Linked DNA regions of Caenorhabditis elegans. The protein of the gene in region 1 interacts with the protein of each later gene in a pairwise test. Each region holds a gene or a part of one and is shown on either strand. Other genes may lie near its edges.

Region 1 (6,399 bases):
TTTCAGCTTGAAAAACATTTCGAAAACCAAAATTTATTTTCCCACTGGCATAATATTATTCGGTATATTCTTTCTATGTTTATAAGGTCAACACAACGATGAACACAAAATTTTGCTGATCAAAAGCAGCTGACTCTCTTTCTCTTCATTTTCCGTCTCCCAGTGTATGTTGACAATTGGTGGTGATCACATAAAGACCCCTCGACTTTCATTTTAATTTTAAATCGAAATACACATTGATTTTCTCTCATTTTCTCTACTAATACTTTTAAATTAATTTTACTGTATGTCTTTTAACACTTTTCTAATCAATTTGACACAATGATTTTGCCCCAATTTTTGTACGACTGGAATGTGGTGACAAGTGATTAGTCATGTTATAAAAACCTAGTTGTTATATAAATTGAATTCTATACATTTGAAAAATTTCACGAGGACAATAGAAAACTGCAGAAAACATTTTTTTAAAGCAGTTTTATACTCACATCAAGCAGATATTTTGATGTTGATGTGGTAGGCTCCTAAACACTCGTTTCCTAATTTTTTTAAAGTTCGAATTTCCTTTTAGTAGTACATTCTCATTTATATAATTTTGGAATTTGAACGATTCATCTTTTTTCTATGTTTTTTCTAAACAACCTTTTCATGAAAACGCATTCGAATGGCAATAAGTTCTGAGAAACATGCGTTTTCCTAGAAACTAGTCATGGTTTTGCGGTGGCGTGTTCCTCTCTGTTTCACTGACCAATTTATCATCAGACCTCTTGTATTGTCAACACAAAACAATGTTTCTCTAATTTCTCTATATGTCTGCCTGTCTGTCTGTATATCTGCGTGCCGTTTCTCTCTATGTCTATCTTTAGTTGATTGTGATACTTTAGGCGAAAACAGTGAGGTGGCAGTCGAGCGGATACTTTGTCCTTTCTCTCCCATCGATTATTGACACGCTGCGTCCCACATTAATTTTTTTTTGCATTATTGGAACACGATTCGATGTGGCAAGTGAGTTTAGGCATAATTTATTCTCATAAACGGAGAAGCACGTATGAGCTTCCAGATATGAAACTGCTGCACACCTTCTTCAAACACTTTTTAAAAAGTTTTTAAAGCTTAAATTTCAGATGTAAAACTTCAAAACCATCATGTCATCCACTACATCTTCTAATCTGTCATGTCCGGCTTGCACTCAGAAAAAAGTGAAAAGCCGTTTCAGTTGGCGAGCAATTTTATACGCAATTTTTTGCTTTCCGTGTGGAATCTACTGCTGCATGAAACGGAAAACATACTATTGCACACAATGTCAATGTGATGTGAGTTTTTTCTTTCAAAATAAAATTAGAAGGCTTAGTTCTTATGAAAATGAGAGCTTTAGTTATAATTTCTAAAGAAATGTATTGGTGTTCTGCAATAGCTAATGTCTTATCTCGTTTTTAATAAATCAAATGTTGCAGGTGGTTAAACGTACTGAAACCCGTGCTATTTTACCAAGAACTCCCGGATTGGGCTACAACTTCCGTTTGTACGAATCTACAAAAACGGCTCTTCCAGCTAGTTTTGCTGCATATCGTAATCCGGCAATGACAGCATCATCCACAGATTCTACAGTTTCCACCACACTATCAACTGCACCAATTGTGGATTAATTTTTTGAATTTTTGATTTCGCCAGGGTTTCAAAAGGGGTTTGTTACGTTTAAGTAATTTTCATAAGTAAATATTTCCGATTATTCTGATACTTGATCAGAAGTTTTAAATGATACTTATCCCATTTTTCTTTACAAAAAAGTCTCCTATCGTCTCACCATTTGATTTCTTGTCACTTTGCTCTTTTTCGCGTTCCAAAGCCAATAGTTTCGTCTCGAAAGCTTTTGATTTTATCAGTGCTCGATGATCGACCTGTAAATTATTTGAAATATTTTTCAGTTTCTTTTTCTGTTTGATTTTGGTCAATTAAACTACGGGTTTCAGTGTGATTAATTACATAACTTTGAAACGTATATTTCCAGAATTTTTCCGTTAATAAATATAATACTTTTTCTTTTTTATAGATATTTCAATTGACTTTTCTCTAGACTAGAAATTTCGAGATGTTAAAGATTTTCTTATGGAAAAAATGAGCTTCAACAGGAAATAAAAATCTTACCTGTGAAGCACCCAAATTCTCTCTCAAAAGTCCAATATGTTGCTCATAGATGACAATATCAGCTTCAAGAACTTCAATAAATCTATCCTGTGCTTGAATGGCATCCTTCAATCGGTCAATGTCCTCAAAAATAGCTTTTTTCTGACATTGATTGTAGTTGATAGCGGATTCAGCTTGAAGGAGATCTTCAACCATCAATTCCATCAGCTTTTTAGATTCGTCAACTTCTGAGCTCAAGGATCGTTTGGCTACTTCACTAGCATCTAACTCTGTTGTCAACTTGTGAACTTTTTCTTTCAAATGAGCAACTTGATCACGAAGAAGAGCATTTTGTTCTATTTCCCAATTTCGAGAAGATCGGAGAGTGTCAACTTCTTCTTGAAGACGATCCCTCTGAAAATTGGAAACGTTTCTATACAAAATGATATATTCATCTATTTCACTTACCTCATCTTCATATTTTCCATTGATATCTTCAAGTGTAGTTTCCAACTCCTTGATTCTTGCAGTCGCCGCAACCTTTGCCTTGAGTCCAGCAGTTTTTGCCTCTTTTGTGTATTTGAGAATTTCAGATTCATAGTCTGCTTTCATTTTTTCAACAGATGAGTTTAGTTCGATAACTTGCTGACGGAGTAAAGCATTTTCAGATGAAGCTTCTGTTAAAGCAGACTCGAGAGCGTCTGAAGTTGAAGAAGACATTGAAATGGTGGGATAGCGGGAAACAGATGTAGATGGAAAATTGGAAGATGTTGATGTTCCAATTGAAGAACCATTTGGATTTAAATCAAAAGTTACACGTTTTCTTTGATGTTTCCTATGGATTCCGTCAATATCTGGAAGAGCGCTCAGTTTGCTAGATGGATCAAATGGAGGATCCAATGGTGGAGGAGAGAAGGTTCCCGATGAACTTGAGACCATCGTTTCTGAAAAATAGATCAATTCAATTCCGTTAAACTTTAAAAAAAAGTTTTATATCGTCACAATTTTCAATTTCTAGCCGTGTGCTCAATTTTCGAGCTTATTTTCAAGAAAAAGAGGAGCATACAAATTACTTGGGCAAGCTACCTTTAGATTACTGTAGGTTACAGTTGTCCTAACACGTCTAAGATCAGCAATTTTCCTGTTTGGGAATAATAAAAAAATTCTAAAAATAAAACTGAACGTCATATATATTCAGAAATGGTGCATGACAACTTCATTTTTTTTTAACCAAAAAACTTTACTCACTTCTCTGTGCAATGACATGACCTGGAGATGAACTTCTTGCTCTCCGTTCACTCTTTGAATTTGATAATGGTACTGAGGAATGAGCCATCAAAGAAGGCTCAGTTTCTGTCGACATATCCTTCTTGTCTCTATTCATTTCTTCAAATTTTTGTTGAACAATTCTCATTGCTTGATTTTTGACTGAAGCAACTTCATTGTGCTCACGAACTCTTTCCTAAATACAACTCCAATATGAAACCACAGAAACAGAATAATTCTCACCTGTAAGTCCAAAATTTGCCTTTCTTTATCCAATATCACATTATTTAAATCTATAATTCGGTTATCCTTATACACCAGTTGTTGATGAACCCGTTCATCGATCCGTTTGTCGGCCGATTTTTCTTTTTCTTTGGAGGTTTTGTCCTCCATTTCTGAAAAGTATTATATTTGTATTTAACGTATTTAAAAAGTGACAGTATACTTCAAGGACGTGAAGAAACAATGAGAAGAAAAGAAATTTGAAAATTATAGTTTAAAAAAAGGGATGACGTAAAATTATTCAAAAACTTTTTAAATAATTTGTAAATCCAGAATAAATTTTCTGCGAGAGATTGGAGAGAGAAACAGAGAAACCCCGTTCCACGTAACGGAGAGGCGCTGAACCCACGTGGAAAGCTCACATTTTAATCTCACGCAATAATATGCGTCTCACGTTTTTTTTTCAAAAAGTTTTCCGAACACATCCTTTTTTTTCTAAAATTTTTTAATCTTCCGACACTACTTGAGAAGTCTTATAATGGATGAAAAATCGTTTTTTAAAGTTAATAAACTGATTAGGTATAAGGAGCATGCCAAAAATATATTCACTTTCAGTTTTTTGATAATGTTGCAAATTATTCAAAAGTATAACTCGTAACCTAGTTATCAGAAGTATAACTAACAAAATATTTATTTTTGTATTTAAAGGTTGCTGAAGTAAAATAATTTTCATTTACTGTTTCATTTTTTAACTATAATAATAATATACTCTAGAAATTCCGCTTTTTTTGGTACTAGTGAATATAATTAACTTATTTGAACAAGTATACAAAAGTAAAAATAATTTGCTTCTGAATTAGCTTCTGAATTAGTTTCGGAAATAGTTTCGGAATTCATTTTAATCATTCTCAACAATATCAAAAACCAAAAAAGGTTGCTTCTTTGGCTAGCACTGTGAATTAATACAGCAATTTAAATATAGGTTATATAACTAAATTTGAAACATAAGGAAGAATATATGAAACGACTTAAAACAGTTACAAATCTACGTGCAATTTAATTCCTGAAGAATCAAAAATGAAGTTTTAACACGAAATTCTACAAAAAACTGGTTCGAATTAGTTCCTTTCGAGAGACACGTCGACCAACACGGCACCCGCGTTATTGATTTTCTGCTGACGCACATTCGTTTGCGGTGGCGCATTTCACTTTCGCGGTGACCATTGACATAGTGTATGGGCCAAATAATGGGAGAGCTCGGTGAAATATTAGTGACATTAAATACGGATATTAATTACAAAAAAGAAATCGATGGTAAAAATAACCAAATGACTATTTTGGCATGAAAAAACATGACTTTTCAATTTTTATTTTCTGTTTTGGAACTCTTCATGTAGGCCATTTTAAATCATTAGTTTTCTGTGCGGTGTGTATTCAGAAAAGTTAAAGTAAGCATTGAAAACTGTGAACAAAACGTTATAAGAACACGTCTCATTGTCTGTCAGTACATGAGAGCACGATGTAAAAAAGCAAAGCACACAACTGATATTTTTGTTAAAATAATTTCTGTCTTACTAAAGTTTTTGGGTCAAGATAGATCAAACAGCATCGAGAAGAAAATTTACTAAGTTTGGTAACCCATGAAACACAGTTCTCTTTCTATTTTCAAAAGGCATTTGTGTCTATTAAGCTCATCAGTTCTTCTGAAAAATCAGCATTACTGATAGCATAAATTCTAGGCTTTTCAGGTCATTGTAATAATTCGATAAACCATTCCAAATTTCGAACTAGGAGCATTTTTAAGAATATTGTTTCTTTATACTAAAACTAATAAATATTTTGTACAGAATAATTGTGTATCTATGGAATCGTTATTCTTGCTGCGTAATTACTAGTGACGAAATTTTCTTGTTCTGAATTAGTTATTTTCTCTGAAGTTGAACAAAAAAACACATTAAATTGATGAATAGAGAATATTTTATTGTTGAATTTCTCATAAAATTTAACGGCGAGTTCCGTCCTCGAAGAAGACTCCTCCGTCGATGGCGCAGTACTTTGGACAGATTCCCTTCTCTCCGGCACCTCCGGAAGTTCCAGCTTGTCCTGGGGCTCCTGGGTTTCCGTCGGCTCCTGGGGCTCCTGGGTTTCCATTTGGTCCCTTTGGTCCTGGGGCTCCTGGTTGTCCATCGTGTCCTGGCTGTCCTGGGGCTCCTGGTGGTCCTTGTGGTCCGGCTGGTCCAGCTGGTCCTGGTGCTCCTGGTGTAATTGGCTCGGATGGAGCGTCTTGTCCTGGCTGTCCTGGGGCTCCTGGGGCTCCTGGGTTTCCGTTTGGTCCAGATGGTCCCTTGTTTCCTGGGGCTCCTGGTTGTCCGTCGTTTCCTGGGGCTCCTGGGTTTCCGTTGGCTCCGGCATCTCCGGCTGGTCCTGCTGGTCCTGGGGCTCCAGCTGGTCCGGCTGGGCATGGCTTGCATGGTGGTGGGGTAATTGGCTCACATGGTTGCTGTGGTGGGCGTCCTGGGTTTCCTGGAAGTCCTGGTGCTCCTGGCTTTCCTGGGCGTCCTGGCTTTCCTGGGGTTCCAGCTGGTCCAGCGGCTCCTGGAAGGCAGCAAGCGTCGCAACCTCCAGCAGAGGCAGATCCTCCGGTGACTCCAGCATCATATCCAGCTTGACGGGCGGTACGGTTTCCAGATGGGATGGCCTTAAGGTGGTTGACCTCGGACCAGATATCCTTGGCGGATCCCTTGCAGAAATTGATCTCGGAGTGCATGGTTCTCTTCACATGGTGGACAT
Region 2 (4,082 bases), on another chromosome or scaffold:
TGATACCGATTTGGTGGTTTTGCATACGGTGGAAGTGCTGGTGGCCAGCTGATAGCTTCTCCTGTTTCACGAGCTTCTTGCTCAGCCAGACGAGAAAGTTCAGCTTCCATTTTGATAATTTCTCGATCAGCTCTTTGCATTTCAACTCGAACGAAATAATCATGAAGTGCAGATGCATCTGCATCAGAAAGTAATCTTGGCACAGCAAGAGCTCTCTTAAATGCTGGTGAATGTTTCCAGTCCTCAATCGAGTCATGAGCAGCTGGCGAATCAGCTCTCTCGGCTCCTCGCCAAACTTCATAACGAACTCCTTGATGAAGCGGCTTACATGTCAAATTTGTTGCGATTTGAATGCACTTTTCAAATGCGAGTTGATCGTCATCGGCTGCCAGTGCGAAATTGTTGCAAGCATTCCGATTGCTGAAAATATTCAGTTTAAAACACTTTTCAGTTTATCATAATGTGAAAATTTTGATTTAAAGCTTACTTCATCAGAGCATGCATTGCTGGCTGACTGAGCAACATTCCAGTATCCAATCGGCATCGTCCACTTCCATCTTCAGCTGCTTCACCCATCACAACTGGTTCATTCCAATTCATCTGACAATTAACAACTATTTTACAAAAACAATTACTGGATAAAATACCGTATCAATCATTCTGAGCAAAACGAATGGGTTGATATACGTCGAATCTTTGGCAAGTAGAAACCAGTCATAGTTGTTGTGGACTGTCTGAAAACATTTTATTTTTAATCAGGAAATGCAACTCCGACAGGAAGAAGCCAAAAAGAACAATTGAGATACTCTGAACAGGGGAATTTTTACACCAAAATCGACTTTACAACATGGGGTAAACTTACTGAAAAACATTCAATTGACAATTATAATTGATTCTGAAATAGTTTTATGACTTTTTTTTTTGAAATACGAGTAGTTGACAACTACATAAAAAAACATTTTTGAACAACTCAACTAACCATATTGAAAAGGAGACCCAAAACCATCGAATGCGTCTTTTGTCCGTTTAGTTTATATGGACTCAAATTGGTTAACTGGGCCAAGTCATTGTCGATTCTTGAAGAGTCAGCAAACAAATGTACACGTGGAACATGGCGCCCAAGAGTTGCATTAATAGAAAGAGCCAATGCAGACTCAGCCATCACTGCGGCCATAACTCGTTCACGTGTACCGAGTTCAGTGGCTGCAAATCGAGTTCTTGTAACCTTTGGAGTAGCGTCTTGATTATGAGGAGGCGCTGGCATATCGTCTTGGTGAACCTAAATTTGATTCTTTCATGAAATTTTGTGTTTTTTTTAAAGCTACTCACAATCCAATGCTCAGATAAATCTTTATATACTCGCCCTTTCTCCAGTGCCGATGGTTCAAGAACATTCGTTTCTGTTTCTTGATTCTGACATGATGTAAATGCAGCCAATGAGCTGGTCAAGTCTATACTTGGTGTGGATGAAAAGAAGAAGAGCGCGAGAGCGGCACCTATAAGGAATCCAAGAAGCAAGTGTATGCCTGTTCGACCGCCGCCGACCATTCTTCGATTCTAAAAAAGGAATAGAGAATTATTAAACTTTTTTTCAAAGCCGGTGAAAAACGTACCAAACAGTCAGCAATACGCCTTGATACAATTCCAATAACGAAGTTTTCTTGTGAAGAAGCTCTGAAAATTTACAATAAGAAAGTGAAGTGAACAAGAGCAAATAGTGATGTTTGAGCATGAATGAGCAGAACACAGGTTAACTGATCAAAGAAAAGCGTGAAAAGACAATACGGGTTTATGAATGAATGCAAAACAGTCGTCATAGAAGATGTGTGTGACAATGCTCGTAAAATGATTGCAGGACATGTGAGTGGAGCGACAACCTTCTTCGGTATGCGATGCAGACGGAAGACAAAAAAAACGAGAAGAGGCTGTGATCGACGCCGACGTTGTAAGAAGGTGTTTGAAGAGATAGTCTTGAGTTGAAAGAGACGCAGACATTATGTTCTGTACTTGACCTGACTAACTAAGGTCATTTTAGAAAATTTAATGTTCGAGGACAGTGAAACCGTTAATAACATGCTATTTTGAGAATGTTTTTCTAATTTCTTAATTTTCAAGATTTTATCTCAATTTTAATTGAATTAGGAAATTAAGTTCGAAATATGACAGATAATTCGTGGGAATAATTAAAATAACATATACATTGGAATTATGAATATCTTTTTAGTAGTTTTAGAATGAACATCTAATAACAATCAAATATAGGAAAATCCGAAATAAGATTTTGAATTTAACGGAATTTTGATAAATTTTATTGGTTTGAATCAATAAAATTGTAGAAATAAAGTGGTTTTTTGCAGTGAAACTTAAAAAATAAAAATAAACCGATGACAAGAGAAAAGCGAGAGAAACACTGAGTAAACTGTGCGGCGTGTTTGCGGAAATCGCGTGCCAGGCTTGCAACAGTGCGCGATTCAACTCCGCCCACAAAAAATGCAATTTTATTTTTGCTTTTCCATATTTAACAGTTGTTTTGAGCCCGTTTTTATTTGTAAAATGTATATACTATGTTTAAATCTTTTCGTTGAACATTTAATATTGAATTTTTAAAAATAACTCATATTTTGCTCAATCGATAAACCAAAATTATAGAAAATGCTTCGTTCACTTTCCACGATCTCCAAGTCTACCGTCCGCTGTATGTCATTGACATCCAAAATGGCTGCTGAGCAACCGAGCAAGCAAGAGGTAAGTTGAAAAACAGCGAATTGTGCAATTATGAAATTTTTGTCTGTTTCAGGTTGATGACTTGTTCGCTGAAAAACCACAACATCATAACCCAGAACAAAGACGGCATGCATACAGGTATGATATGAGTTTTACACAAATGTTAAACTTGCATTTTTCTGAACTAGGAGATTAATAATTTGTATCAAAGTTCCTGCTAGAAAAAATAAAATGTCACAATTTTCAAAAGCACAAACGCAACGATTGACAATAAAAATTACTTATTAAAAAGTCGTTCGAATATTGTTGTAAAATAGCTGTGAAAGATACAATTTCAATTTTGAAAGCATAAAAAAACAAATTTTGAATTCAGATCATATCGATTCAAAATTTATTTATTATCACTATTTCAGTGTGAATAAAGTGGAACTAGTCGGAGGAGTCGCCTTGGATCCATTGTACAAGACTGGAAGGAACGGAAAACCTTACCTCATCTTCAATATCATCACCAACTCGTACTTCAAGCAGCAAGACGGAACTACTCTCGATCAAACTGAACGTCACGCCGTTTCAGTTTTCGGAAAGCAAGCCGAAATCCTTTCAAAAACCATCAAGAAAGGATCCCGTCTTATGGTTCAGGGGAGACTTCATTATTCTGGAGGACAGAAGGACGAACAAGGAAACCGTACACAACGCAACACCTACATCATCGCTCAAACTGTTCAACCATTGGCTCGAGCAGCTAGAGAGAATCCAGATCAACATTAATTTTCAAAATTTTTTAAATATTTAGAATCTCCGATAATAGACCATTGTTGTTGTTTTTGTTGACGAGTTATTTACCTGATTAAACATTATCTCATATTTAAAAAAAAAAGTTTTATTTGATTGCATACCTGGTTTTCTAACCATATTTATTATCTGATCGTTCTTTGAAAGTTCAGCTAAATCAACTTTTGATAAGAATCGGAATTCACTACACTGTCAAAATATTGATTTTTCGTTTTTTCCTCATCATTCCGTCTCTCGCCAGTTGTTCCTCCGAAACAACACAATATCCCTCCCTTTTTCTTGTTTTCTCTCGGGCACTTTGAGCCAATGTTTTAAATTGTTGAAGCAGTTTCACACGATTTAATCGATTTTTTTGTAGAATTGGGAAACCATGAACCGATCTGGACAGCGCTTGATTGTCTCTGCACCTCGGCAGATCGCCTTTTCCACTGCTGTCAGGTATGTGATTGTTTTTTGGTTATGCATTACGTGCAAATAATTATATTTGAAATCATGTTATTTTTTAAAATTTCTATATTCTTCCGAATTGTTTTTTTCCTCCACTATTTTTCTATTGAGATGTTGTT
Region 3 (5,616 bases), on another chromosome or scaffold:
AAAAATGGAAAGAGCGGGCGATGGTTACAGACTTTCTTAGGGCACTTCGATAATTGGTTAGCAAGTAGGAGGGGCTAGGCACTGATTGGTCGAAAAGGTTTTATTTGCGACAAAAAATTTTGAGGGATATAGAACACCGCAGATTCGAACACCTAGAATGTTTAGGTACAAATACATAGAACGTACTAAAATTTAAAAAAACTTCAGGAAAAACAATTGGTCTTTCCACAGACTTCTAGAATTATGTTAGGTGAAGCCGAGTAATAGACAATTTTCACTGTAAATGAAAATATTTCAAAGTTTTGGAATATTTTTGGAATAGTTGTCAATTCAGCATTATGTGATTTTATATTTCAAAATTTGTTGCATACAAGGTTATCCCGATCAGCTGAAATTCGCATCTCATTTATTCAGCATGGAATGATTTGTTAGTAAAACAATTACTATTATCGTTTCACAAAAGCACAAGCATTACCAAGAATGTTCAACAAAATATGAAACCAATAAATAAAATTTCATTTTCAGAAAAATAAAGATCAAATACTCATTCATCATCAAAAGCTCCACGTTCCTCCTCTTCATCACCCGATCTAACTGCATGACTCTTGGTAACAACGTTTTTCAAATTATCGATTTCATCTTCAGCCACATCCGTTGAAATGTTTGCCGTGGATGTTGCAGTCTGAATATTAATGTTGAACCTTCAAATTAAGCTAAGAACTCACCGATATTTTTATTGTGTTATCCTTTTCTTTACTCAACTTCTTGCCAGGTTTCTTTTCACGAGGATTTTTCCCTTTGAAGACATCCCGACTTAAAATGCTTTTTGGTTGCAACTTTTTCAGAACGTTATAGTGCATGTTGCTTGCATTCTGAAAGAAAAATGCGTATGTCTTGTTAAGAAAGTATGAAATTGTATATTTTCTAGTTTGGCTCCACTTTAAATTACTCTACAAATAGCTGCTCAGAAAGTGCAGGCGGGTGACGACTAGAGATTTATTCCAGAAGAATTTTTGAAATTCGGCGACTTGATTGCAATCCAGTGGTCTAAACACGCGTTATTCATGTTCTCGGAGCAATAATTTACCGAGTAGATGTGGAAACTGAGGTGACCAATTTCTCAAGTTTCAGGCTTACTGTATACTTCTGATTTTAAGAAACCCAGTGTTTAGTTATTTTAATAATAATATTTTTGTTGAAGCTCCAGCATACGGATCGTCCTAAATCTTGCAAAACCGGACGCCGGTTTTCCAAGCAAACGTTCAGCCGGTACAATTTGAAGAAAAAGTCCTCACCCGACCAATACATATCGCGTCGTTTGCCATCTTAACATCTGGATCTGGAGCAACTGACTCAATCAAATGACGAAGAGTGTTTGCAGATTCCACAGAAACCGGTCTTTCAACCAAAAATGTGACTTTTTCTCCTTTCAAAATTCCCGACAGTTTCTCACGAATGAAGTCGTCATTTTTCTCTGCGTTCAGAATGGATTCTTCATTTATATCCATTATCAGATCCCCACGACCAAAGAATATCGAAGCGAGTGAGCTGGGCTCGATTCGAGTTACTATGCCACGTTTTTGAATATATGTCACTGTAACTCCAACCGTTGCACTTTTCATTGCGGAAGTCTGGAGTAAATGGTATTTATTAAGGGGTGGACATAAGTTCTAGGTATAATCCAAAGTTATTTTAAACAATTATTTTATGAGAATTTTTGTTGTCAAGCAACAAGCAGTTCGTCACATTTCGTCAAAAAAACTTTCATAATTTCGTCTTTAATTTTTTAAATTAAAAACAATTCATACTCAAAAAACATGCAAAATTCTAGAATTTAATTGGTCATTCTGTAACTCCGTTCAAAACCTCATTGCAAAGTTCAGATTTCGTATATTTTCGAATAAGATAATCATGTCGATTTTTCTTCAATTATACCTTTTCAACTTCAATAACAAAGCACGTATTGTCCCGTCTCAAAACACATCCCGATTTCTTCAACCGTTCTCTGGTCGCTGGGATAATATTTTTCCGTCTTGTAACCTCAACACTACATGTTTCACCTTTCATGAGCTCTGTCTGATACTTGGATATATTTCCACTGGCACCGTTCACCTTGACTATTTTGTCGCCTGAAAGAAAAGTATTTTTAATCTAGTTTTTTAAACTGGTTTAATACATTAATTGGAAAAGTGTAAAGTGGAAAAGAAACTAGGGAGTCTTCCGAGGAAAATTGACTTTTCCTGGCTCAAAATGTATAATTGTGGACAGAAGAGTTTTGAAACCCTTGTACCAGTCAAACCAATTTTTGCCTATTATTTTATCGGGGATAAATATACATTTGTTCGGCAAAACATCACAACTTCATAGCAAACTCTTGCAACTTGAAACAAACATTTATAAACAATTGCCAAGAGATGTTACAAAGTTGCAAAAACCGGAGCAGTTCTAAGCGAAATGTTTCATAAAGTTTGCCAAAAGAAATTGCAAGAGTCATCTGAAAAGCTGCAGAAATTTGTTAGAAAACTAAAGTAAATAATGGTTTGTAAGAAGTTGCAAGATTCTGTTATGAAGTTGGCCCGCTTCAAAATAGTTTCGGGTTATCCGGCCGTTGGAAACTTACTCAATATCAATCCATTGTAAAACGAGTTTGTTGATAGGAAAGAAACCATCGAATTCTCATTAATTCTAATAACTTCATTCGCAGGCTTTCCGACATCTTTTTCATCAATCTTGAATGAAACTGTCATATTTACAGTTTCCACATTCTGTGGGATCGGTGTCAGCCAACATTCTTTCATCTTTTTGTTCGTATTCTGCACTTTTTTCTTCGACATTCTTCTTCAAAAGAAATAACGTTTTCCGAAGTTACTTGTTAGCTCCAAACTCACGATTATGGTTTCCTTTTGAAATCCGGAAATTTAGTGTCAAATGATAAATAAGAATGATTAGAAATCTACCTCCTCCCCCTCGACTAAACTGAATTGGAAAAACATAAAGTTTAAATTCAAAATGGTGTGTCACGCGATAAAAAGTTACTGGAGAAACTTGAGAATTATAAAATAGTATTCAAATTAAACGTTTGATATAAAACTGTAAAGATATACATACTCAGTGCACATTTAAAAAAACTGAAAAAAAAACGTTGTTGTGTTCTGAAGCCCAAAAAGGCTAGATGTTCTGGTCACCATGTACAGCTAAGAATCCAAGTATTCTGGGAAAGTTCAATTACATATATTGCCTGTCAACTCCATTTCTGTACTTAATTCTACTCCAATTATATTATTTTTTTTCTATTTCCTGGACTTTTATTGATCCTTGGTTGCCTGTCCCCCCAATCTTTCTTCGTACTCTCCTCCCGTTTCCCCTTCCTTCTCGGAGAGCCTTGTCTCTCGAATCCTGTGTTTCGCAAAAATCATCGTCAACTTCCACACAGATATCATTCTGCGTCTCTTCGCCCTCTATGATCTCTCATGCCCGTTGATCAGGAGCATCTGTCACCCAGTGTAACACCAAGAATGTGTTTTGTGGAGGAGACGATGATGCCGTTGTGAGAAAGAAAAGCCCGCCCTCGGGTTCCTCCGCCTACTCGCTCCCGCCGTTGCTTCTGCCCGACGAAGCTTATCCAGAGCACAACAAACTCCGACAACATGGTGAGTCCCGCTTTCTCATGTCTTCAATAAATTTCTTTTTGAATTTTTATATGTTTATACTTTTATAGGCTGAGGATATCGAAGAGATTCTTGCTGAAATCGACGGATCCCAAATTGAGGGTAAGATATTTTATATTTATGATTGAAAAATCATCATTAAAACTTTCTAGAATACCAAAAGTTCTTCGATGCCTTCGACAGAGGAAAGCAAGGATACATCATGGCCACTCAGATCGGTCAAATCATGCATGGAATGGAACAGGATTTCGATGAGAAGGTAAATCATTTTGGAACTTTTGGTTTATGTAGAGTTAGGGGATCTTCAGAAGAGTGATAATTCAAATTAGGAAGTTTTCAACTCTTTTAAATTTAGGTTTCACGGTAATGATTAGGTAGGCCAACTGAGTAAGATAACCGAAAATATAAATGGGTTACTCTTGCCTAAAATTTTGTTTTTATCCGACCTATCTTCTGCGGCTTGTTTCTCAACTGAATTCAATTAATTTTCGCCACTAAAACATGTTACTAATGTTTGTGAAATAATTAATTTTGATATTCCATCTGAACAAAAGCATTTATTATGTCGACTAAAGTAAGATATAACTATATGTTATGAAATTTAGTTATAGAATTGATGATTTTGATTTTTCTAAATCTATGTGGCATCTAACTTCATTCTTTTAGACCCTTCGTAAACTGATCCGCAAGTTCGACGCTGACGGTTCCGGAAAGCTCGAGTTTGACGAGTTCTGCGCTCTCGTGTACACCGTTGCAAACACTGTCGACAAGGAAACATTGGAGAAAGAACTTCGTGAAGCTTTCCGTCTTTTCGACAAGGAGGTTTGTACTTTTAGATTTTGCTTTTTATTCTTTAATTATTAATTTTTCAGGGTAACGGATATATTTCTCGACCAACTCTGAAGGCTCTTCTCAAAGAAATCGCCGATGACCTCACCGATCAACAACTCGAGGAGGCTGTCGACGAGATTGACGAGGACGGTTCCGGAAAGATTGAGTTCGAGGAGTTCTGGGAGTTGATGGCTGGAGAGTCTGATTAAATTTTCTAATTCCTTTAAAATGTAAGTGTTCGAGCTTTTTTTGATTTTATTCAAAAACTAACTTTTTATTTTTCAGCGCTGATCTACAATCTTCAACTGTGGGGACCAGTCACCAACTTTTCATAATTTCCTTTTTCTTGAAATGTTAAATTCATTTCACTTTTTATTAATTTTCTTGTCATTCTTTTGAATGAATAAAAATGAATAAAAGTCTTTGTACATCCACAGGCTTATTGGAAGAGTGTGACCAATTTGAAACGGCCAAAATCAGGAAATAATCAGAAGAACTAGACTTCTCAAATCCTTTAACACAACATCAAATCCGCAGTATAGTGCTCCGTTTTCTCTTGACCTAAAAAAACGGGAAAAGTCCATCTACGGGGAATGGAATGACAAATCTCTATAAATATAGAGATTCACCGTTGCAACCTTGTTGTTTGAAAGTGAAGTGTCTCTAAATAGAATGAAAATTATGAAAAATGGAAAATGTATTAAATCACTGCAAATGAGACCTCTACTCTGCGGCATTACAGTTTTTACCGTTTTAGCGCAACAGGACAGTTTTTGTAAATTTGCAAAAGTAAAGTGACAATTCTCTATGTAGATTTTCTACGAATGAATTTCAGGATACTTGTGAACTTGCAAAACAGTTTTTCACTATTTCAATTGTTCCAAATCTAAATTCAACAAATCCCTCTCTTTTTCTCTATCTGTGCTCAACTCTTTTCTATATAAACTTAGTGTAACATAGGCTTTATCTTTTTCTATCCACTTTCCCACCAATATCCCTCCAGGAATAGAAAAGGGATTAACGGTGGAGACTCCAAATAGTGTCCATCACATGCAGCTACTATTGCTCCAGAAGCCCTTCACGAGTCTCTCTGCCGTCTCTTTGCTTATCAGAGCCC

Evidence for each region. The genes of interacting proteins can lie anywhere in the genome.
Region 2: the proteins of T28C6.7 (region 1) and mtss-1 interact in a two-hybrid assay, tested with the Caenorhabditis elegans proteins (one large-scale study listed by BioGRID).
Region 3: the proteins of T28C6.7 (region 1) and C46H11.6 interact in a two-hybrid assay, tested with the Caenorhabditis elegans proteins (one large-scale study listed by BioGRID).

What each region holds. Positions count from the first base shown.
Region 1 is NC_003282.8:8,825,185-8,831,583, reverse strand, and holds the start of T28C6.7 (Kinesin motor domain-containing protein), read right to left. Parts: upstream 3,781-6,399; coding exon 3,631-3,780; intron 3,584-3,630; coding exon 3,370-3,583; intron 3,066-3,369; coding exon 2,590-3,065; intron 2,536-2,589; coding exon 2,143-2,535; intron 2,036-2,142; exon of another isoform or gene 1,896-2,035; coding exon 1,802-1,895; exon of another isoform or gene 1,644-1,801; coding exon of another isoform or gene 1,452-1,643; intron 1,311-1,451; coding exon of another isoform or gene 1,143-1,310; exon of another isoform or gene 1,122-1,142; intron 1,003-1,121; exon of another isoform or gene 857-1,002; intron 1-856. Other genes in the region: T28C6.8 (Membrane protein BRI3), read left to right, coding at 1,143-1,310, 1,452-1,643; col-3 (Nematode cuticle collagen N-terminal domain-containing protein), read right to left, coding at 5,612-6,399.
Region 2 is NC_003281.10:8,765,662-8,769,743, forward strand, and holds mtss-1 (Single-stranded DNA-binding protein, mitochondrial), read left to right. Parts: upstream 1-2,649; 5' UTR 2,650-2,652; coding exon 2,653-2,745; intron 2,746-2,797; coding exon 2,798-2,862; intron 2,863-3,137; coding exon 3,138-3,492; 3' UTR 3,493-3,582; downstream 3,583-4,082. Other genes in the region: Chondroitin sulfate synthase mig-22, read right to left, coding at 1-420, 488-600, 648-734, 980-1,279, 1,330-1,548.
Region 3 is NC_003279.8:5,018,095-5,023,710, reverse strand, and holds C46H11.6 (PDZ domain-containing protein), read right to left. Parts: upstream 2,932-5,616; 5' UTR 2,889-2,931; intron 2,839-2,888; 5' UTR 2,835-2,838; coding exon 2,621-2,834; intron 2,130-2,620; coding exon 1,936-2,129; intron 1,632-1,935; coding exon 1,296-1,631; intron 873-1,295; coding exon 726-872; intron 683-725; coding exon 545-682; 3' UTR 501-544; downstream 1-500. Other genes in the region: pat-10 (EF-hand domain-containing protein), read left to right, coding at 3,648-3,650, 3,719-3,770, 3,821-3,927, 4,335-4,490, 4,541-4,708.